Linked DNA regions of Drosophila melanogaster. The protein of the gene in region 1 interacts with the protein of each later gene in a pairwise test. Each region holds a gene or a part of one and is shown on either strand. Other genes may lie near its edges. The genes, in order: Map60, emp and CG14881.

What was found.
Region 2: the proteins of Map60 (region 1) and emp interact in a two-hybrid assay, tested with the Drosophila melanogaster proteins (one large-scale study listed by BioGRID).
Region 3: the proteins of Map60 (region 1) and CG14881 interact in a two-hybrid assay, tested with the Drosophila melanogaster proteins (one large-scale study listed by BioGRID).

The regions. Positions count from the first base shown.
Region 1 is NT_033778.4:9,587,694-9,594,866, forward strand, and holds Map60 (Microtubule-associated protein 60), read left to right. Parts: upstream 1-3,173; 5' UTR 3,174-3,335; coding exon 3,336-3,607; intron 3,608-3,671; coding exon 3,672-4,722; 3' UTR 4,723-5,051; downstream 5,052-7,173. Other genes in the region: RpL31 (ribosomal protein L31), read left to right, coding at 1-13, 84-234; clos (closca), read right to left, coding at 313-637, 698-1,112, 5,054-5,233, 5,297-6,069, 6,696-6,877, 6,937-7,173; CG1827 (uncharacterized protein), read left to right, coding at 1,457-1,569, 1,623-2,691.
Region 2 is NT_033778.4:24,980,261-24,988,311, reverse strand, and holds the start of emp (epithelial membrane protein), read left to right. Parts: upstream 1-3,517; 5' UTR 3,518-3,637; coding exon 3,638-3,662; exon of another isoform or gene 3,663-3,753; intron 3,754-3,809; exon of another isoform or gene 3,810-3,931; intron 3,932-5,107; exon of another isoform or gene 5,108-5,285; intron 5,286-7,153; exon of another isoform or gene 7,154-7,312; intron 7,313-8,051. Other genes in the region: CG3829 (uncharacterized protein), read right to left, coding at 1-97.
Region 3 is NT_033777.3:16,431,289-16,437,996, forward strand, and holds CG14881 (uncharacterized protein), read left to right. Parts: upstream 1-3,610; 5' UTR 3,611-3,676; coding exon 3,677-3,785; intron 3,786-3,845; coding exon 3,846-4,013; intron 4,014-4,067; coding exon 4,068-4,279; coding exon of another isoform or gene 4,280-4,367; coding exon 4,368-4,739; 3' UTR 4,740-4,778; downstream 4,779-6,708. Other genes in the region: CG31279 (uncharacterized protein), read left to right, coding at 1-419, 827-1,252, 1,311-1,508; Fntb (farnesyl transferase beta subunit), read left to right, coding at 1,795-1,893, 1,950-2,206, 2,269-2,940, 2,997-3,228; mRpS33 (mitochondrial ribosomal protein S33), read right to left, coding at 4,789-5,010, 5,073-5,192; ema (endosomal maturation defective), read right to left, coding at 5,735-6,050, 6,505-6,708.

The DNA.
Region 1 (7,173 bases):
CCAAGGGTATCAGGTGCGTAGTCCTTAATTTCCTCCGATTTAGCATCCTTTCTAATCCGCCGCTAATCCATCCACCCTTCCAGGTCCACTCCATTCCGCATTCGCGTGCGCCTGGCGCGTCGCCGCAACGACGATGAGGACTCCCCCAACAAGCTGTACACTTACGTGACCTATGTGCCGGTGTCCACGTTCAAGAACTTGCAGACCGAGAATGTCGAGTCCAGCGACGACTAAGCAACGTAATTGACGGCCAAGAAAACACGGTTAATAAAAAGTAATTTTTATTTAGAAAAAACAAACAAAACAAGTGACTTAAAGTGTAGTAAACTGTGGCTGCAGCAAGTAGACCGACTCCTCCGTGGCCATGGACAGCAGTCGCAGCTTATGGCTGGGCAGATAGAGCACCTCCAGGGCATGAGCCTTTGGCAAGGCGCTGTCGCCGAGGATTTGCTGGAATCCCGCTGCTCCGCGGTGCTGGTAGATGCGAAGCGGTTGCTGCGGCAGTACGTTGGACACACAGAGCAGTAGATCGTCGGACTCGGGCAGGTGCATAAAGCGCATTACCCGCGACTGTTGGGAGTCCTCGAGCTCCAGGACTTGGTCCAGTTGGAAGCTGCTCGTGTCTGGGCTGCCGAAGCTGCAAAACGAGTGAAATCCTTGTAAATGCCCTATGCGTGAAGTGCTTATGAATATCTACCTGTAAATCCGAATCTCTGCTGCTGGCGATGAAGCCATCAGCGCCACATATCCGCTCTCTATGCCAGCACCTCCTTGACTAAGAGCCATTTGCTCCACCTGCCCATCTATCAGCCTGCTTGATAGAGAGTAATTGCCATTACTCCACTTCCAAAGCTCCACCGCTCTGGGAGTACGAAGTAGAATGGTCATATCATCTGAATCAGCGACCGGCAACAACTGTTTTACGGCCCGCCTGGGCAAGATTGCTTCCCTGCTGTTGTTCTGCTCATCTAGGCATCGGATTACTATCTGGTTCTCCTCTTGAAGTGCCCGGCACTGAAATCCATATGATCTGAATTGCAGTTTCTGCGGGTTCTGTGCCTCCTCATTGATTGGATTCAAGTTTGTCTTGTTTAGTTGTGTCAGTGCTGTGCCTACAAAAAGGAAAGCAGTGTTTTATAGATGTGTCCGTGGAATACTCTTCCTATAATTCCACTCCAAATATAGGCTATACGGATAGGACTTTATCGATATTAATAGGTGGTTTTTTGCCTATATCTTAATCTATGTTGAAACATTTTCAAGTTTTAAAATATTGCTTAAACCAATTTGAAAATGTGTACGACTCTTTTAGAGGGTATATCAAAACAACAGATAAGAAAGCAAAACAGTGAGGTTAGACTGCTAGCATTTAAAAGCAGAACTCGACCATTTTCCGGCAGAACAGGGACAGATTGTGATACACCAAGACTTCTCGTAGAGACCATTACGATTAACCATGAGAAGGCACTTGCGGGCAAGTCTTTGGATCCTTTGTTTGGCCACCATGGCGTTTTCCATCCTTGCGGCAGTAAATACTTCGCCCAAACCAACGCTGACTTCGGCGTTTAGGTGAGCAGCGCATACAGCGTATTCTTTGTTCGCTAAGATCCGCCCCTTTGCAGTGGAAAAGCTGGCACCACTGCCGTGAAGGCGAATAAGACGACGGGTGAGCTGCTGCCCATGGTCATTAACACTTGGAACTTCACGGCTGCCAATGTGCTCGCCTGGCGAATCCTGAAGCAAAGCAAGGGTGGACTCCGGCAGACGCGGAATGCGGTAGTGGAGGGCTGCTCGAAGTGTGAGAAACTCCAGTGTGACCGAACGGTGGGCTATGGCGGATCGCCGGACGAGTTGGGCGAAACCACACTGGATGCCATGGTCATGGACGGGGCCACCATGGATGTGGGGGCAGTGGCTGGTCTGCGACGCATTAAGGATGCCATTAAGGTAGCCCGGCATGTTCTGGAACACACGCAGCACACCATGCTGGTGGGTGATGCGGCGTCAGCTTTCGCCAATGCTATGGGATTCGAATCAGAGTCGCTGGTCACGCCGGAGTCGAAGGACATGTGGTTACAGTGGACGGCTGAGAACTGCCAGCCAAACTTCTGGAAGAACGTTCACCCGGATCCCAAGGTCTCTTGCGGCCCGTATAAGCCGCGGCCGACTCCGCTGACCCGCTGGAAGGAGGACCGTGCCCGCAATGAGTATGAGATCGGACGCAAGAACCACGATACCATCGGCATGATCGCCATCGACGTGGAAAGCAACATCCACGCCGGCACCTCCACCAACGGGGCGCGGCACAAGATTCCCGGACGGGTCGGCGACTCCCCCATTCCGGGTGCTGGCGCTTATGCAGACAACGAGGTGGGTGCAGCCGTGGCAACCGGAGATGGAGATGTGATGATGCGCTTCCTGCCCTCCCTGCTAGCGGTGGAGACCATGCGGGCGGGAAAACCTCCGGCTGAGGCAGCTCAAGAGGGCCTTCGCCGCATTCTCAAGCACCACAAGGATTTCATGGGTGCTCTCATCGCCGTAGATCGGCTGGGTAATTATGGCGCTGCCTGCTACGGCCTGGCCGAATTCCCCTTTATGGTTAGCAGTCCAGCCGGAGCGGATGGGCCTACGCGCTTGGAAACGGTCAAATGCATAGGTGGTCAGGACAAAGTAAATATCGTGGCGTTGTGAGGTGGCGAAAACTGTAACGTATTTCAATAAAATTTAAATTTCGTGGAGTTCTCATCTGCAATATAAATTGCGTTATTTGTTTGTCCCTATCGGCAGCAAGATAGACGGGTAGTTTTACCGTAAATTAGCGGTATTAAGAATTATCGATATGTAAGGATCCTTACATAAAATAAATAAATAAAGTATGAGAATAGAATAGAAAAAGACAAAACAAAAACCATTCCTTCGATAGTTATGACTACCAAAATGAATAACTTTTCCTTATGGAGAAACATTATAATTGTTATATAAGTAAAAATAATGCAAGTATTAATATTTATAGTGATAAATATAATATATAAAAATTTAATTTTCACTGCATCGAGAGCTGTGAACTGTGAACATCTATGTTGCCAAAATCTCCCTCATCCCTAAGTTACTGTACCAAAAGGCGGCATTTCTAGTATTTGCGTGTTGCACGGTCACATTTTCCGCCAATTTACCGACGCCAAATACAGAAGAAAAGAGAAGCGAACGGTGCGAAAGCGGAGAGAAAAACAAGCGGATCCTAGTTACATATACCAATTCGTGTGTCGCGTGTTATCAAAACAGCCTCCAAAATTATCAGGAACGCGCAACCAGCGGGCCGCAAGTCGCTGACTAAGATGGCAATCCAACTGGACAAGATTCTGCAGGACATCGCCAAAGAAAAGGTGCTGCATCCAAACAATGGCGGCGCCAGCAAGCAGGAGCAGGAGGAGGCGTGGGCCAGGATCGGGCGTCTCAACAAGCTCTCTGTGCACGAATCGCGCTCCATCTTCATAGTGCTCCAAAAGAAGTACGAGCAGGAAAAGCTAAAGGGCAATTCGGCGTGGAAGCTCTTCAGTCTGATGCATCAGATCCATCAGGAGCCTAAAATCTCAATCAAGGAGGAGAAGTAAGTGGCGTAAATAGTCCTCTAACCGTGAAACACTAACAAAATTTCTACTGCTATTCTGCAGTGATCAAGTACCCATGGAGGAGGTGGAGGAGTACGAAATGCTGGAGGTGCAGGAGCCTGAGGACGAGGATGACGCCCATCAGTACGGACAGCACACCAACTCTACCGGCTCGGCGTCCTCCGACGGCGAAAGCCCCACAAAGTCACACAGCACCGGTTCGCCAGAAAAGGACGAGCGGTTGGCGTACGCCAAACCCAACGTCGACACTCCTCGCCCAGCCATCGAGGAGAAAAAGCTGCTCAACACACTGGCTAACAACACACCGCGAAGTAGCTCGCTGTCCGCCGCCGCAGCAGTACTGCAAAAGAAGGGAATTACTGTGAAGAAGACGCCCAGCTCCGCAGCAGCACCGAAACCGGCTATTGGGCAACAGGCGCCAGCCAGTGGGCAAAGATCAAGCTCCTCGCGCACCACCATTCAGCTGCCAGATTCTTTGAAGCGCAAACTTTCGGAGGAGTACACCTCGTCATCGGCGCAAAAAAAGCAGACCAAGACCACGAGCCCGAAACAAGCCGCTTCATCGGCAGCCGCAACTTCAGTGCACACCAGCGTTCCAGATCAACTGCCGGCGGGAAACAATGTGGTGCACACAACCACTGCCCAGCTGATGCAGGTTAAGAAGGAGCGTGAGGACAACCAGACACCACCGCCGGGTATCAACATCATCACCATTCCATCGGCACAACAGATAAACGGTGGTGGTGGGGGAGCGAACTCATCGACAGCCGCCACCATTGCTTCCACCTCGGTGGCTTCCACAAACGGCTTTTCGCCACACATCGACGAGCTGGACTTTAAGAATGACATTATCTTCGGGCCGAAGATCAACGCCGCCTCCTCCAATACACCCGAGATTATCAACCTGGGCAACTTTGACAACTCGCTGCCGCCAACCTTTTTCAAGAATCTATGCAACTCGTCGCGACACGAGTCTCTCGGGCTGTACGTGGCCAATGTGATGAACAGACTCTCTTCGCGTGCCTCCGCCAAGCTGGAGCTGTCCATCTTGCGCGCCATCCTCGATGTGCAGAGCGACGAACTGGAGCAGTAGACCGACTGATACTCGCAATTTAAATGATTACTCAGCTTACTTATTAGACAAACTAAAAAGGTAGTTATGTAGTAGGCCTGTCTGAACCATTTCTCGTATTTATCGTATTATTTTTTCCGTGTTCAAACGTCTGCGTTCTGTGCCGCCCACTTGTAAAATGTATTTACTCACAGTTCTGGTATGAGTGTTCATAGCATTTACGCATGAATTTTAAAGCTAAATTTAAAATGTATTTCTAATATTTGAGATTTCGAATTTGTCCCTATTTAAGGTTGAATATGCTACTTGATTTTAAAATACGTTTATATGCAAATAAATCTACATAACTTACTTGAACTTCGCCCAAAAAGATGTATATCCGGTTGCCATGTGTAAGTAGTCCCTACTTCGCTGGGCATCTGCTCCCAGATGGCCAGTACGTCCTCGTTGTCCACGGAGATGATCTTCATGTGCGAGGCCTTATGAGGTAATTTCTGCAGCACAGCAAAGCCTTCCAGCACTTTAGGCGGCTCTGTTGGTTGAATTTAATGCACATGACTAAAGGAGAATTTGTATTAATGTGTTTTTAACATACTGGCCAATCTGTTTTTAATAGCTGCCACATTTTCCTGCAGCTGCTGCCAATCATGAATGTCATTCGATTCGACACCCCGCTTTTTCTTGTAATATTTATCCAGCAGCCCATTTCCGTTGCCCGCTTCGTAGTGACCCACAGTGAGGGGCTGGGTGAAGATCAGTTGGCTTTCCACGTGAAGATTGGGACGGTTTTCTGCCTTGCTGACCAGTAACTCGTTAACGGGCAGATCGTTGACGAAATCCACCCAGAGATTCTTCACATTATTGCTCATAACTCGCTTCTGTTCGGGAAGACTATTCGCCACCAGCAGGGAGCCCGGTATATCCTGCTCATTGTCCATCAAAATGAGCTTGTCCGCCTGCCAGGGGACACCATTTACAGACCCGTTCACGGTAAGATCGTTGTAGAGATTGACATTATTCAGATGAGTAATGCCAGAAATACTGTGGTTCCCGTAAAGGTAGGCTGCTCCATGGATCCACTTGGCCACAGGCACATCCGCCACCTGGCTTTCAGGGGTTGTATGGAGACGATTTATAGTGCCGCCCTGGACAGTTTTCAATGCTTCGACTATCAAGGGAAGATTGATACTGTCATTTTGAAGAGGCATTCTAACGACATCATTAGCAAGGTTTAAATTATTTATGTAAATATCGTTTAGATTTCCCGAAATAAAGGCCTCAGGCAGTTTCCAATATCCACTTATAGCGTGAGAGCCGGCTGTTTTCAACGAGTGAGTTACAAAATCATCAAAATCTAGGGAGAAGTTGCTAAGAAATGAAAAAGATTTATTTTAATATAGTATTAACCATTTGGTAGCATGGTATTCCTCACAAAATTCCAGGCGAGAGTAAAGCCATGTATAAATTTAAAAAATGTTTTATAGAGTAGTACTTATATTTATGATCCGAAAATGATTTATAATTAATCTTTTAATCCCAAGTTCTATAAATTCGATTTATATTTAAATTCAACGATTATTGTAGAGATCGATAATAGTTGTGAAAACATCGATATACCGATGCTTCTGCCATCCCCAGCTGCCAGGCGTTTGGGATTCTAGCGAAGACGTTTTTGTTGTTTCAAATCACAAACCTCTGCTCTGCCGAAACTGCCCGACCGTAAAAAGTGCATTTAACCAAACCCAATCAGCGACCAATTGACAAGGTAATTAAGCACACCTGCGAGTGTTCGAATTAAGTGCAACCCCCGCCCCGCGCTACGTACAAACGTGTACAGAAATTTCACCTGCCAAACGGAATGCACAGCTGACTTCTGCGGATGCAGTGACTCTAAAACTGTTAGCGCGTAAACAATTGCGAAAGTGAAACGTGATACCAACTTTACCCCTGTTCATTGCCCCCTGCCCCTTGATCATTTGGTCAATTTCACTTACCTACTGGTGCCCTCCATTAAAACGCCGCTGCTGCCACGTCGTAGTTTTACGTATTTGGCAACTGGAGGCTGTGCGAACGTGACGTCATGCTGGAAGCTCAGGGGAGTTTTCAGCAGATTGCTACGCGTCCGGCTGAAGTAGTTGTGAGTTATATGATCCACTTGGTGCCCGTTGATGGGTCCCTATGGGGAAAGGTGTTCTTGTAAACAACATAGGTTTCTACTGTGCAATACCCACTCACCTGGAATTCCAGCAGGCCTTCGAATTGCCCAGATTCCAGTTTTATTTCTCTCAACTCAATCTGCTCGTTGTCCAGCCACACCTGATCAAGAAGGTTTCCTAGATTGTGGCCATTCAGGAGCTGATAAGAGGGTTCTCCGCCAAACTTAACATTCTCCGCCACAAAGGTGCGCACATTTTGCCCACTTAAATAGATCTCCAACGCCTCCAGAGGATAACCATTCAGGTTGGTTATGTT
Region 2 (8,051 bases), about 15 Mb from region 1:
AGTTCAGAGTGAGGGATTTAGTAACAGATGGGGCCGATGTACGATCAGATTCCTGCCGAGCGGGCATGGACATCTCTGCATCTTTGGTATGTGACATTGTTTTCTGATAGTCTGTCGCTGCACGCTAAAATGGGAGTAATAGTAAATGTCGTTATCCTATACGTATGTTGTCCCCGGTTCAGAAAGTAAACACGAGCAACATGTAACTTAGCTGGAATTCAAAATCTTGTTCATTAATATTAAATTTATATAGTGTTATCTTTATAAATGCGGAACACGTGGCTCAACCCAGGAATCGTTTGGCATAACTAAGCTTATCAGGATGGGCTATATATTACCCTAGGAACTCGGGGTTCATTGAACACATAAGAAAACTGAGCACCTCCTTTTAAATTGCTATAATTCACACCTAATAGTTAATACGTTGTAGAACCTAATTCAATTTCTTTGCTCGTTGTGCTAATTTTAAACTATTTTTGACGCACCAGACAGATTTTTAACCATGCGCTTACAAATGTTTCCACGAACTAATCGGGGTTTCAATTCCGAGAGCCTTGGTTGCTTCGGAGCTTGTGGATCTGCCCGTGCTGAATTCAAAGTTCAACCGTATGTGTTCTAGCCTTATCAGCAGCTCCTGCGTACATAAGCTTGGCACATACTTACTAGGCATTAATTCATTATTAAATGGAAACAACACGTATCAGTATGGGCACTATATGTATAGAGTTGAGATTTAGTTCGATTCGCCAACTCTGAAATCGGGTCAACGGCATCCGATAACGCGCTCCCTGGGTGTTTAAATTTTCCAATAATGCGGTCGATCTTGAACTCGAATGTGAACGGAATTGAAATAATTGGTGAAACGGTCGGGTGAAACGATTAAATTGATAGTGGAATTAGCTGTTTTCAAAAAAAAATAGGACCAATCTGAAAAAAGTCCGAAGCACTCTTCTCTGATTTCTGGAACTTTCGACATCAACCGAGGACTATCTTAAATCGGCGGTCAAAGGAAATCTGTATATCTTGACAATTTTGAATCCTAGGCTGTGATTGCTTCCACTGTGATATATTAGGGTCTGATCTAAGGATGGTATGCTTTTACTCTGCAGTTCACTCTAACTTACTTGTCGACCTCTTGAAATCGCAAATGGTTCGTACTTCTCTCCGCGCTCCTCCTCTGCGTTTCAGTTGCAGAAAAGAGGCATTGGCTGATAACGTGATGCGTGGTGATAGAAAGGGGGTGAGTGGGTGGCACTGAGCTGGAGAGCGCCTGCAAAGAGCGCGGTCACGATCAACGTGCACTTGGAATGAGCTTTGGGGCACCAGCTGATTTTCGGTGGGCAACACAAACGTGCGCGCTCCGTTGGAATCGGAACCACTCTCTCGGAGACGAACTGCACCCACACGCGCTTATCTGGCGTTCTCTGCCACTCTCTTTCACGTTGTTTACTCGCTGTTCAGTGCTCTGCACTTTCGAAGTCTGCCAAACATTTGGCGTCTTAATTAACAATTTCGTCGCGTTTACGCTGGCTGAACACAGTCGTGTTTATTGGGTTTTTTTCGGGTCTCATTCCGCTCCCCTACCGATAGATACTCCTGCTGGATGCACCACCTATGAGATGTATCTATGCGACAGACTCGTTTTGTATCTGGTGTCTGTATCTGTGCCTCTGTGTTCCTTCGTTCTTTTGTTGCTGCGCGTTCTTTGTTCGCCCGCTTCTTTGTTTTGTCGCCGTCTCTTTTGTGGGCTCGATCGCACTGGCTGGTCTGTTGTTGTTTTAATTCCAGCTGCAGCTGGAGCGTAGAGTTGAAGCTAGAGTTAGAGCTAGAGCAATATCAGGTTTTCCAACCGTACTGCAGTTTTCCTGTCCAGATGTAAGTGCACGAATCTAGCGCATATTAGTTTCCGCCGCCACTTCCACTTCAAAGCAGCAATTAAAGACGGACTGCCTTGCGGAATTTGATTATCTGCGCACGGAGTTCGAGTTTGGCCCACTGCCACCGGTTGATCCACTTGCAAATTTTTGGTTTGCTGCGATTAGCTACATACTCGGGCCGGCCCACGCACTATCTGGCCGAGAACCTTACGGAACCGATTAGATTTGGCCCGTTTCGCGGCGATCCGATCTGCGCTGGGATTAGAGAGCGGGCCTGGAACTGGGACTGGTTCTCCGCTGGACTGGACTGTGCGTACTGCCGACCAAACAAGTTATTACTACGACGTCGGAATCGGACGGAATCAGTTCGAGCTGGGCAACTGAACTGAGCAATGCCAGCAGAGCAGTCGCTCCTCTTTCCTCATTCTTTGCTGTCGCAGTTGCCGTCGCTGCATAGGTCGACGCCGCTGCCGCCGCACTGATAACCGGGCAGGCGGTCAGCTATGATTGCAGATTACCGCTGGACGGAGCCGGCGCCGACTGCGCTGTCGAGAAATCAAGAAATCGGGATCCCTTGTTTACTACGTAGCAGCTTTGTGCGTACCCGCGAGACAAAGTGCAAAGCAAATCGTCAAAACAATGAATCCACTCGGAGCATTATATAAGATGTACCAAACCTCCAGCTGCTCGTTCCGCTCCAGCTTCGTCTGCGCATCATTATTATTGAATCAGAATGGATTCGTTAAGGAGGAGGCTCAGAAACGGAGGCTTTATAGATTTCCTTTAAAAAGTGTAAATAAACCAGTCGATGTTTTGTTTTCGTTTTGATTTTATATTATGGCACGCTGATGCAAATATTTAAAAAGTCCCATAACTATTTTTAGGTGTGCGCTGTCGCCAAAACAATTTAAATATCCCTTAAGTACTTGGGTTCCCTTTACCCATGGACCTGCATTTGGTTTACCCAAGTAATTAACGGCGGTGAAATGCACTCTGAGAACTGCGACGAATACACAAATGCTGAATATGCTTTCATATCTTGCTCTCGTTTGTAATTTTGAGACGAGGACGTATTTAAACTGGCTTATCGCGCCCCTTCTTGGATTATTGAGATGGCAGAAAGGCCGGAAGATCGCAAATACCCCCGCCGGAGCCGTGTTATTGAACCCCAAGTGTAAATGAGCTTAGCTTTATCAATTCAAGTATTCCGCCGTTTCAAAACGTCCCTTTTCCGAAATGCCTGCCTATTGCCCACCTCATCGGGTTTCGCATCAGCACAGTTGATAGCCGCTCTGAACTTTTTGTTTTCCTCTGATCGGTTGACGCGCACGGGTATTCAATCTCTTAATCTGTCGTGCTAGCTACTGGCCCCTCAATTTCGCAGACCTGCCTGAAATATTAACCTGAGCACTCTCGACGGACCAGTTAATTGTGCGGTGTTCAAGTTCGGCTGACAGCTCAAGGGGCTAAATGAGTTACTTAAACTTGTTTTAGGGTCTCCCGTAAGCCGCCCTCGACAGATGTTTGCTCGTGCCGGTTATTATCGGCTAGTGCCCACTACCCTTCGACCGCTTACAGGAATCTTATCACCCGAGTGAGCTGCCTTATCAACCCGGTTGCCAGGCAGTAAAGTGCCAAACAATTCACAAACACAATCGAATATCAGAACACCAGTACACTGTAGTGAAGCCAAACAGTTGGGAGAGTGCTCAAAACCCTTTGGAACTCTTGAAATCTTAATGGAACTCTGATCGTTGGCCATGCAGTTGGACGACATTCTGCATAGTAAGTCAGAAATGGAATCATTACAGAAGTTAGACTTGGTACTGCTTTCGGGGCTATGATGACACGCCATCGGAGCTGAATTAGCATATGCGTACGCCGTTGTTGTTTTCGCGGTGTTTTTGTTATTATTTATTGCATCATTTACAGCAACAAATGCGCCACTTTGTACGACAGTTTACATAAACAGAAAGGTCGCATGCAACCCGGTTAGCCTTATTGGCATGCAAAGTCACCGCGGAGTCAAGCTTCGGATACGGGTCTCCATTAAGGTGATTATGTGTGGTTGGACTTGGCGTGGAATGTCACAAGCATTGGGGCGATATTGTCTTGGCCTACCTTCTATGTACGTACTACAAAGAAATGTAGAATTATATTTATATTAGTGTGTGACGATTGCCCAAGAGTTAAGGCTTATATTGGATCATGTTATATGTTATGTTATATATTATATAATGCAACCAGATGCGCTACCGCCATGCAACTGAAAGTCCACTATATTTTCAGGGTGGACTTTAGATTTTTCTATGTGCCCGTTGTATTTTCCGTTCTTATAATATTAGATTTTATAATTTGTCTGGGAAAACAGCTTACTTGTTTATTTAGCAAGTCCCAGTTTATGCAGAAGAAGCGATTCACCAGCCGGAATTTCTCCAGCTGTTTACCAAGAAGTCCGTGCATGAAAAGAAAACGTGGGCAATTCATTGAATCGCATTAGCTTTATTGATTTCCCCTTGTTGATTGATTATGTAAATACAGCAAGTTTCTGACGCCAGTTTTTTCCACAGCTGAATCGCGCATATCCTAGACTTCGCTTTGGCGAGATTTTGATTCTGGGCAGGCAGCAAAGAAACGCTTCGCAATGCAGACAAAAAGCTCCATCGACAATAACAATAATTTGAGATCGACGGAGCTGTCAAATTTGCATACATTCTGCATACTGCAACCTGTCGTCGATCGTGGATGTGGTTATTGTGCTGAGTTTGGCAACCAACCCGTGAGTCACCTGCCACAACAACCACAACCGCGAGAGCACTAACGACAGATATCATAATCCCGCGAGTGGACGAGTGTGTTGGTGTGGCAATCAGTGATATTTTTGGAGTTAGTAGCATAAAACGAAACGCGCAACGCAACAAAACGAAAGACTTCAATGCAAGGCAAGGCAACAAACTCGTTTTATCAGCCTGGTCCAAACATTGGCAACCACATGGACCGCCTCGCCCGATGCCGATCCGCTCGTGCTTTGATCGCATGCGTTGCACTAGCAAAACCCAAAAGCTCCCGCTTGCTCACTCTCGCTTTTGCATTGCTACCCACCTGCCGGGCTGGGGGTTTCGCCTACCTGTTTATCAGGTTTTCCAGTTGTGCTTTGTCGCAACGCGAAGCCGAGCTTTCGCCGCCTGAACATCTTACGATCTTACGTTGGGGGGCCACTTGAAGACGGCGACTTCAGTTACTTGACGGCACTGCGAGCGTTCGAGTCGTTAACGATTTTTACCGGCGGTTGTTGCTTAACGTTCCCTGCTCACCGATCAACGATTACCTTCCTCGTTATAGCCCGGGCCCAAGAATCTTGGCTTGTACATCGGACCGCCGCAAGTCCGTGTTACCGTCAAAAACAGTGTGAGTGAGTGAGTTGGCATGGCTATTTGGAAATGCCTGTGGTTTCCAGCCCGTCCAGCCCGAATCAAACCTGCCGCACCAGATACGAGGCACCAGTGGCAGTAAGAGAGTGTTGGGGCAGCAGTGCGAGCCGCATTCCTAGGATTTGCCTGACTACAGCTGAGTTCAATTATTGTTTCTGCCCCGATCGGTAGCAGACCCTTGGTCCCCGTTCCACGGTCCGAGTACGAATCCGCATCCCAGTCACCAACTTCGACTCCAATCAGAGCGCTGGTTAAGCAAGACCTTGCCCAGTCAGCCAAAATGAAACCACTTCGACAGCGAGTTCGCTTAGCAGCGCTACAAAAGCGGAAAATCATTGAATTATGCTTGGGGGCTATGATTTTTCAGTGTTTGTGTTTTTATTTCTGCTTCGGTTTCTGTGCTGCCTCCGCGTCTAAACGCTGTCTGCGGCCCTGCCAAAAGCGCATTTGATGTACGTGCATAGTTTTATGATTACTTGTGTGGAAAAAGTGAAATTTCGCTCTGCACTTCACTCGGGCTGCCACGAAGCAGCGACTCACAGCGAAATCAAATAAAAAGCAAAGCCAAACACACATTTACGAGACGCGAGATCCGAAATTAAGCATGCGCAGGCAAGAAAACCTAAGATAAATACTTATAAATAAATGAACAGGGGCCAGCCAGCTTTTGACCACATAACGAAGACGATTATGTGAAGGTTGCAGCAGCAAAGAGCTTTGGGCCATCTCCGTCATCAGGTCGGTTTGCCCTACCGCTGTGCCCAGTTGATCATCTAATTGAGGTGACAATTGGGTGGCTTTGTCTTAGCCAACTGTTGACACATTTCACTGAGAAAGCCATCGCACGCTTCGCACTCCGAAGTCCCCTGTCTCTCCCACGGCGGAACTGACCCACTGAAAGTCCAAGATGAACCACTTCAGTCCGCACATGTCTGTCACGCCATTGACGACGACACCAACATGGTTTAAGTCCTAGATGTAAAACCCATTTCGTTGCGTATTATCAAATGCAGCACGGCACGACAAAACGGCAAGTGAATTGTCATCCGCTGGCATACTTTTTTGGACGGTCAGTGTCACATTGTCCATAATCAGCGGGATCATATAAAGAGGGGTCGGTCCGAAGTTTCAAATACTCTTTAAAGCTGTGTTTGGGAATTTTCTGGAGCTTTGATTGAAAACCCGTGGAAAATCTTTTTCCCTACAAAGCCCCGATAGAGGCAAGAAATAGTGCAGACATCTTGGTTGACAGTGACTTGTAGGAGTGCAACTCTGAATGTAATACCCTCCGCAAGGGTAGCGTCTCACAATTTGGGTCAGGGTAATTGCCTCCACTAAACAGCTACTACCGCTTGTATTTATTTGTGCAACACTTTTTCACTGCGTTTAAATTATGAGACGATTCAGCTCGATCTCTGCGCCACCAAGCTGATCAAAGCCGAGGAGCGGATGGCTTCGCCGCAATACCGCTTTCGGCTCAGCTCATACCAAACGTGTGTTTAGAAAGTAAGTTTCTATTGAAGTTGGATTCTGGCCAGGCGATTTGCGTTAGGAAGCCAGCAGCTGCTAATTGAACAGCCACAGCAAGTGAAATCAAAAATAAAACAAGCCATTACATCAGAAATCGCAGTTGGATGGAATGCCGAGAAGCGCTATTGTTATGGAAAGGTGTTGCTGGGTCTAGGGTTTCCCGTTTCACAGATTTGCATACTTCGCGGCGAGCTCGACGCTGATAAGAGTCGCTCAAGTTCTGGGTAAACACTTGGCAACGCTGAGTCATACGGTCTGTGTAAACATTTGGGCCCGACGGGTACTGATTCCGAGCAGTGAGCAGGCTGCACGGTTGCAGTCGTTATTCGGAACAAAGCAGCCCAGTGGGGCGTGAACGCAGAGCCCAATTAGCAGGCAAAGAGCCAAACAACTGAAGGCATGGGTAGCCAAATCCAAATTGGAAATCACTGATTAATGGCCTGACCGACCAGTGTCGCCGAAAATTCATTTGAGGTGAAATAATTATTATTATTATATTATGGTTAATTAGTATTCAATGGGCATCGGTATCGGCATCGGCAACGTTAGCGGCGATGCCAACAATGGTGGATCCAATAGCCATCTGAATACAACAGCGCAAATATTTAAGCCCAGCTCGAGTTCGGTGGGCGAGGGCAGAGCCAGAAGCGGAGAAGTGCGACCTTGTGGTGCTCGGAAAGCGCAGTAAACTCGGCAAATAATAAAACTTCGTGGCTGTGTGCGTTGATAGGCTAGAGCGAACTCAAAGTGCAAAGTTTAGCGCTTATAGCTAAAACAGTGGAGAAATCGTAAAATCACTAGCGATTTTCGAGAGCATCCAAGAATCATACCCTCTATTACGACGGGGTGGACTCGTGGAGCATACGAGCCACATAACTCCATCTGGACTTCGTGAAACCCATATAGCACCGATAAACGGCCGTTTGTATGCACTTTGGGGGAACTGAATCGAACGTCAAGGGACCACTCGATCAGAATGCAATTAAAGTGTTTCTATTGTCTACGGCCGTGCAACGCCTGCAAATGGCCTGCCGACTATTAGCCGAAATCCATTTGGCATCATGTCGCTTCATTTGCATGGTTTTTTCGGCTTCGCTTATAAATATGAATAATGGCGAACAGCGCTGTGGCTGGAATTGTCAATAATAAAAATGTCTCGGTTTACGAACGAAAAATACAAGTATCTCATGTGTTTTGCGCTTGCGCAGCCCTG
Region 3 (6,708 bases), on another chromosome or scaffold:
ACAACCGTGTGGGCAGCTGCCCCATTCTAATCTCAGCCACAAGTGCCCACGCTACGGATGCAGTGGCAACCGCGAGGCAGGTGCTGCACTTTGACACCCGCTTTGAGACCCTGGATCCGCACGGCAACAAGCTGCGCCGGCGGAAGGATTACAAGGACTGTCGCAACTGGGACAAGGATTACCTGCGCAACTGCACACCGCTGAACTGTGAGGAGCGTTACTTTGGGAAACGGAGCTTTTTCAATAGGGAAACGGAACAGTGCGAACCGGTGACTGATTGCTCGGCCCCAGGCGAGTACTACGACATCTTCAGCAACGAGCGCGTCGATCCTGGCAATTTCGTGTCCGAGGAGGAGCTGGACCTCATTAAGCAAGGAAAGTTCGACTTTAATTTTTTGGATTTGCGGGGGCCACCATCGGTAAATATTGTTAATACCAATAACTTTTTGTTTTTACCTTTTCTAAAATATTGAAAATCTGCGTGCGTTTAAATACCCATATCAACGCATTCTCACAGGCGCCATCTTACGTATTTGGCTTGAAGCTCGTGCACTGCTTGCATCGCAACAATGGGGTCAAGCAGTGCGTGCGTATGTACAAATTTTTTGTTGAGGAAGCACTAAAGTAAAGTCGTGCCACATGCGTGAATATGGCGCCGTGGCTTAGTTGGTTAAAGCGCCTGTCTAGTAAACAGGAGATCGTGAGTTCGAATCTCGCCGGGGCCTATTGGAACACGATTTGAGTGTGCCAGTAATATTTTTTCTATTATATTTTCTATTTCTATCAAGCTATTATTTTTATATACTAAATTAATCTTACCGTTTAGCAGCATGAGCCGAAAGCCAACAAAGCGCTTCCTTACAAGAAAAATACCAGGCCAACAAGGCACTTTGTCCATTCCAAGCATGAGAAGTCAGATGATTGCGACAATTTGCGTAAGCTAACCCTGGCCGATTTTAACGACTGCTTTCAGCATTTGCAGGATGGTCAGTCCGAGCCGGTCGCAGTTGAACCCACAATCGAGAAGAAAATCAAGAAAAAATCGCCATTTGAGGTGCCCATGCTAACGCAGCTCTATTACGACTGGTATCTTCCTTTAAGGAGCGATAGCTGGGGGGAAGGCGGAGAAATCGGTGCCATAGGTGATCCCAGTCCACAAAATGTCTCATCGGGATCGGAACCCCTCATCACGTGGATCGGCAAGCTGGATTGGAAGGGCTGGCTGTTCCTGATTCTCAGAGGAAGCTTTTTCGTGAGTTTGTGATGTCGGTGCCCGAACAATGTAAATTTATATTATACAATTATTGCAGATCTTATTGCTAATTGTGTTTCAGGTTTTCGCCACTCTGACGGCCTATTTTATAGTGTGTCTATTTGTCTATGGATTTATGGAACTGTATGGCTTGTGGACTAGTGACGATGCACCCGAGACATTTATGTTGGACTCCAGTTCTCAATCCACCGCCTACAATCTCGTCACCACAGAAAGTTTGATGTCACATCGATAACCGAGTTTTAAGAATTTTAAATGTGAATTTATGGTCTTTTTATAAATATTTAATTGTATATTACTGGCTTTAATGTTGGAAATAATGAATTATTAAAATGTAAAATTTTTTAATATCTAGCCAAAGGAAAATAAATCGAGTTTTTGTATAGGGAATACCCTAATCAAATAAAAAGCAGTGTTGCAAGTTGAATTTACATCACACAAACAAAAACCATTCGCTTAAAATTCCTGCTCGGCAAATCTTTTTAGTTTATTTAATTTAATTTAACCGGCTCGGAGTAGAAATGGGAACCGAGGAGGAGCTGATGTTCCGCAACTTCCAGCGCCTGAAAAGCTACATCTTCGACGACGAGAAGGTGTCCACCACCACATCCCGCGAGCAAGTGAGTAATCCCCGAATGTCGCCCAGGAAAAGATAAGAGCCGATGAATACTTGCAGCAAAAGACGGAGAGTTCGGTGGAGAAATGCTTCGACCGCTTCGAGCAGATAATGTTCACCGACCCGCGCCTCACCCAGATCTTCCGGCTGGAGCACCAGTACTACCTGGACGCGATGCTGAGGCGGCTGCCGTCCAATTACGAGTGCCTGGACAGCAGTCGCGCGTGGTGCGTTTACTGGATCCTGCAGGCGGCCCAGCTACTTAGCTTTAACTTCGACGACCAGACATTGAACCACGTGGTCCAGTTTCTAAGCAAGTGCGTCTTTGAAGGATATTTCTCTAATAGGCATCCTTAATGCTCCAATCACTCTTTCATAGCTGCCGTTCGCCGACTGGGGGTTTTGGAGGAGGACCTGGACAGTATGCCCATCTGGCGCCCACCTATGCAGCAGTGAACAGTCTGTGCATCATCGGAAGCGAGCAGGCGTACCGTGCCATAGACCGACCGACTTTGGTCCAGTTCCTGTTCAGTGTACGTGACTCAGACGGCTCCTTCCGGCTCCACGTGGATGGTGAGACGGATGTGCGTGGCGCCTACTGCGCAATCTCCTGCGCAAAGCTGCTAAATCTTCCCGAGCCAGTGATCAAGGAGCTATTTGCCGGCACTGGCGACTGGATAGCCCAGTGTCAGACATACGAGGGAGGATTTGGAGGAGCCCCTGGTCTGGAGGCCCATGGTGGCTACACCTTCTGCGGAATCGCGGGCCTGGCGCTGCTCAACGAGGCTGATAAGTGCGACAGGCAGGCTTTGCTCAAATGGACACTGCGCCGTCAGATGACCTACGAAGGCGGCTTCCAAGGGAGGACCAACAAACTGGTTGATGGCTGCTACTCCTTCTGGGTGGGAGCCACCATTCCCATTACGCAGGCAACGCTATCCGGCGTCGATAAGCAAATGGAGCACACCCTTTTCGATGTGGAGGCCCTGCAGGAGTACATCCTGCTCTGCTGCCAAAAGCAGAGCGGCGGGCTTATCGACAAACCCGGAAAGTAAGGGATTAATGCCAACATTGTGATGTTTTTTAATGTAAAACCCATATTTTCAGACCGCAGGATCTCTACCACACATGCTATACTCTTAGTGGCGTTTCCATTGCCCAGCACTCGGAGTGCGCCAGCAGCCCCCAGGTCCTGGGCGACACCATTAACGAGCTACTGCCTACCCACCCACTGTTCAACATCCCACCAAAGTCAGTTGCAGCTGCCAGGAGCCACTTCAGCAATTCCAATGACACAGAGTTCTTGGGGAAAGACAGTCCCAGCAAGGAGGAGAGTTAAGGCTTCAGGTCAGGAGGAGGAGCCTGCGTAATGAGGACGTTTTGCTGGTGGTTTACCTTTAAAGAACTAAACTTGGTTTAATAAATTAATCTTTGAAATATTGTATTTTTCGCTTCTTGTATAAATGTACTTATTGGAAAAGGAATTGATTAAAATGTTTAACGTTTTCTAAAAAATATTTATGTCATATATTATTTCGAAATAAAATTATTATGTTTTCAAATAAATTCATGTGTGATTTTGTACAACAACCCAATTGCTCATTATAAAAAAAAATGAGATGAAACAAATAACTTTTATAAATGTGGCTTTGAATCCGAAAGCTATTATTTTGCCCCCAATGTATTTCAGCACGTTTATATGTGAATGGTAAAACATGAATAGTTTGCGTTGTGAATGGCATTTTGGGACTGATTTCAAATCGCAGCTTTGCCTTCGCATCCTTTTTATGTTCTCCAGCCACAGGACATTGAAGAGGAGGACGCCTGCCCAGGGCATTGACCGCCGGGAGTACATTGGTCACCTGGTCGATGAGTATTATACGACAACCAACATCGGTAAGGTTTTTATTCACGTCATTTTGCCGGTGTGAATTCATTTTTGATTTTCATTATTAGAGGCCCAGCAGCAGGTGACTGCTAATTTGGCCAATTTTGCATACGATCCCATCAACTGGTCGCATCTCCTGGAGGCGGACGCCTTGGATGTATTTGTGGCATCGCTGGAGACACAGGATCAGCTATTAAAAGTGCACGGAATTGCGGCATTGTGTAACCTTTGCCTGGGTAAGCAAACATTTGATTTTCAAACCAACCTTGTTCATCATATTCTTATTGCAGACAAAACGGCTGCCAAATTTATCAGAGAGCAGCTAAAACTGCTAACCGGCCTCTTTGTGCGCACTGATCACCCGGAAATAGTACTTCACAGCCTGGCGCTCTTTTACCAATTACTGGAATTTGGTGAACGGACTGAACGGGATTTACTTCTGAGCCCTGCGGTGCTAAGGACGGTGCAAGAGTGGCGGGTCAAGGCCCACGATGAACGCATCGTTAAACTTTGTCAGTTGCTGCTGCAAGATTTCGCAACACGCACAGAGGTTGTCCAGCTGCAAAAGGCTTCCCCAAACGTTCCGACAGCTGAGCAGCAAAGCAGTGAAGCAGGTGCAAGTGGTTAAGCGGTTTTCCCAAAGCGATTTGGAGCAGTTTGCCCAGTTCACCGGCGACCACAACTACATCCATAGTCTGGAAACGCCCACCGAGGAGCGCCGCGTCCATGGAGCCCTGCTCAACGCGGTGGTGGCTGGTATAATGGGTACCCAGCTCCCTGGTCCGGGCACCGTGGTTCTAGAGCAGAATTTCAAGTTTCTGAAACCCTGTCGTATTGAGACCGACACCGTGGTGACCGTACGTCTGCTACAATCTCGCAAGATTTCCACCGTGGAGTACGATATAAGGCAGAACGACGAGGTGGTGTTCGCCGGCAGCGCCAAGTTGCTGACTCGCAACTAAAAAGACTAGCTTTGGTTCAATAAAAGTGGATGTTAGAATATTTATTTTACTACTTCTTTGAGGCCCGCTTGCCCTCGCCCTTCTTGGGAGGCGCCTTGCCGCGCAGCTTGCGCAGACGCTTCATCTCCTCCTTGAAGTCCTGGTGCTCATCGCGGAACAGTCCGTAGTCGCGAAGGTTCTTCATCAGCAAGTGCGTCTCCACGTGCCGCGGATACCAGTTGATCACGTAGTCCCGTTTGTGAATTGGTTCCTCCGAGAACATGCGAACCACCTGGGGAAGGTCGGATAAAACATGTTTACATTTTAATTAATAAATTTATTTCGAGAACATACCTTCATGGACTTCTCGTTTGTGGTGCGAGCCACTTCGCCGAAAATGCGATTTGAGAGGTAGTTCATCCGGCGAGCATACTGCGTGCCGACCTTAATCAGCTCCGTGTACTTGTGGGACATAGTTAATATTAGTTTGCTATGCTTTTCATGAAATAATTTAAGTTAAGTTTCTAAGTTTTAGTAAATTGCGGTTATGTCACGAAACAAAAACAAGCGACAGCTGATTTCCAAGTGCAGTTGGCATTCACACAAAAGGCCGACAATAGGGACATTCCTCAAATTTTAAACCTGTATTGACCGTTATTTTAAAGATTATTATAGAACATTTACTTGAAAACTGACTACAAAACAGCACTGGCGTCTATAGACAATTCAGTAAAATTAAAAGTAAAACCTTGTTATAAAAATGAACATATGCGAAATATAAGAAACCCACATTTTAGAACAATAATTTGTGGCTTCCATTATCGAAGGTTCAAAAAACATACTTCTTTACTAATATATATATAGACTTGAGCTCAAATTCGTCAAATTAGTTTTTATTTAAAATGAAAAGGAATTAGAGTATGTACCACCTTATTAGTCAACTGGAATAACAAAATTTTAGCAACAATCTAAGCATAAGGCTGCTTCCAATGTAATACTAAAACTTCTAGTCTATCTTAAACCGTCTCTATGGCCCCCCGTCGCCTGCCCTCCGATCCGCCAGTGGCCTCGTTTCCGTCGCTCCCAATAAAAGAAGTCTCCTCGGAGCTCTGCGTTGGGAGCACTTCACGGTTCAGCCCATTTAACTGGCTTAGCAGGGCGTTAGTTCCCCCCAGGGACGCTTCACGTGGTGAGCCGCTATGACCGGACAGCTGATCGTAGTGGAGCACGCGGATGGGTGTGTGTGAGCGGGAGGCAGGCGAGGGGTTTCCCCGAGAGTGCGGACTGTTGTTCCGTGAGTGCTGGAAGTCCTCGAGAGGAATCTCCTCCGACCTAGAATGAAAAAATATTACACATTTATTTATAACTCGATTAGGTGAAAATTAGTAAATTTTATAATTAACAAACACATAGAATAACGAGGACAGATAAAACTGGAGGGCTTAAAGGCATGCTATTCTTTGTTTATTTGTCAAAATAATATGCAAATAAATATAAAAATATAGGACAAACGATATCTTTATACATAATTATACAAGGTGGTATTACAAGCAAACTTAGTCAATCTTAAAGATTTTTTTTTGGCCAAGGAGCCAAAAATGTAGCAAATTTCGAGAATCATGTAAACAGCTCGATAAATTATAAAATAAACTTTTTGATGTCTTGGGCGTAATCCAATTAAAAAAAATAGAAAGACTAGTTTAGAATACTGCAATACTTTACAAATCTCAATTATAACAGAAACCATTCTAAGACTACAGAGCTAACGAAAATGTTTCATTGTTACCGCGGCCTGGGCATTCTAGGGCTGCTCTCCCGCGACCGATTTCCAGTACTTCTGGGCTGGGAGTTTTCCCGAGACTGCGAGGAGCTGTGGCTGCCCATGCTAACACTGGGCGATCGCTCCCGATCCGAGTGATCGGCCCTAAGATTCGAGCCCGAAGTTGAGCTGGGACTGCGGCGTCGGGAGCGGCCAGCGCTTTCATTTCTA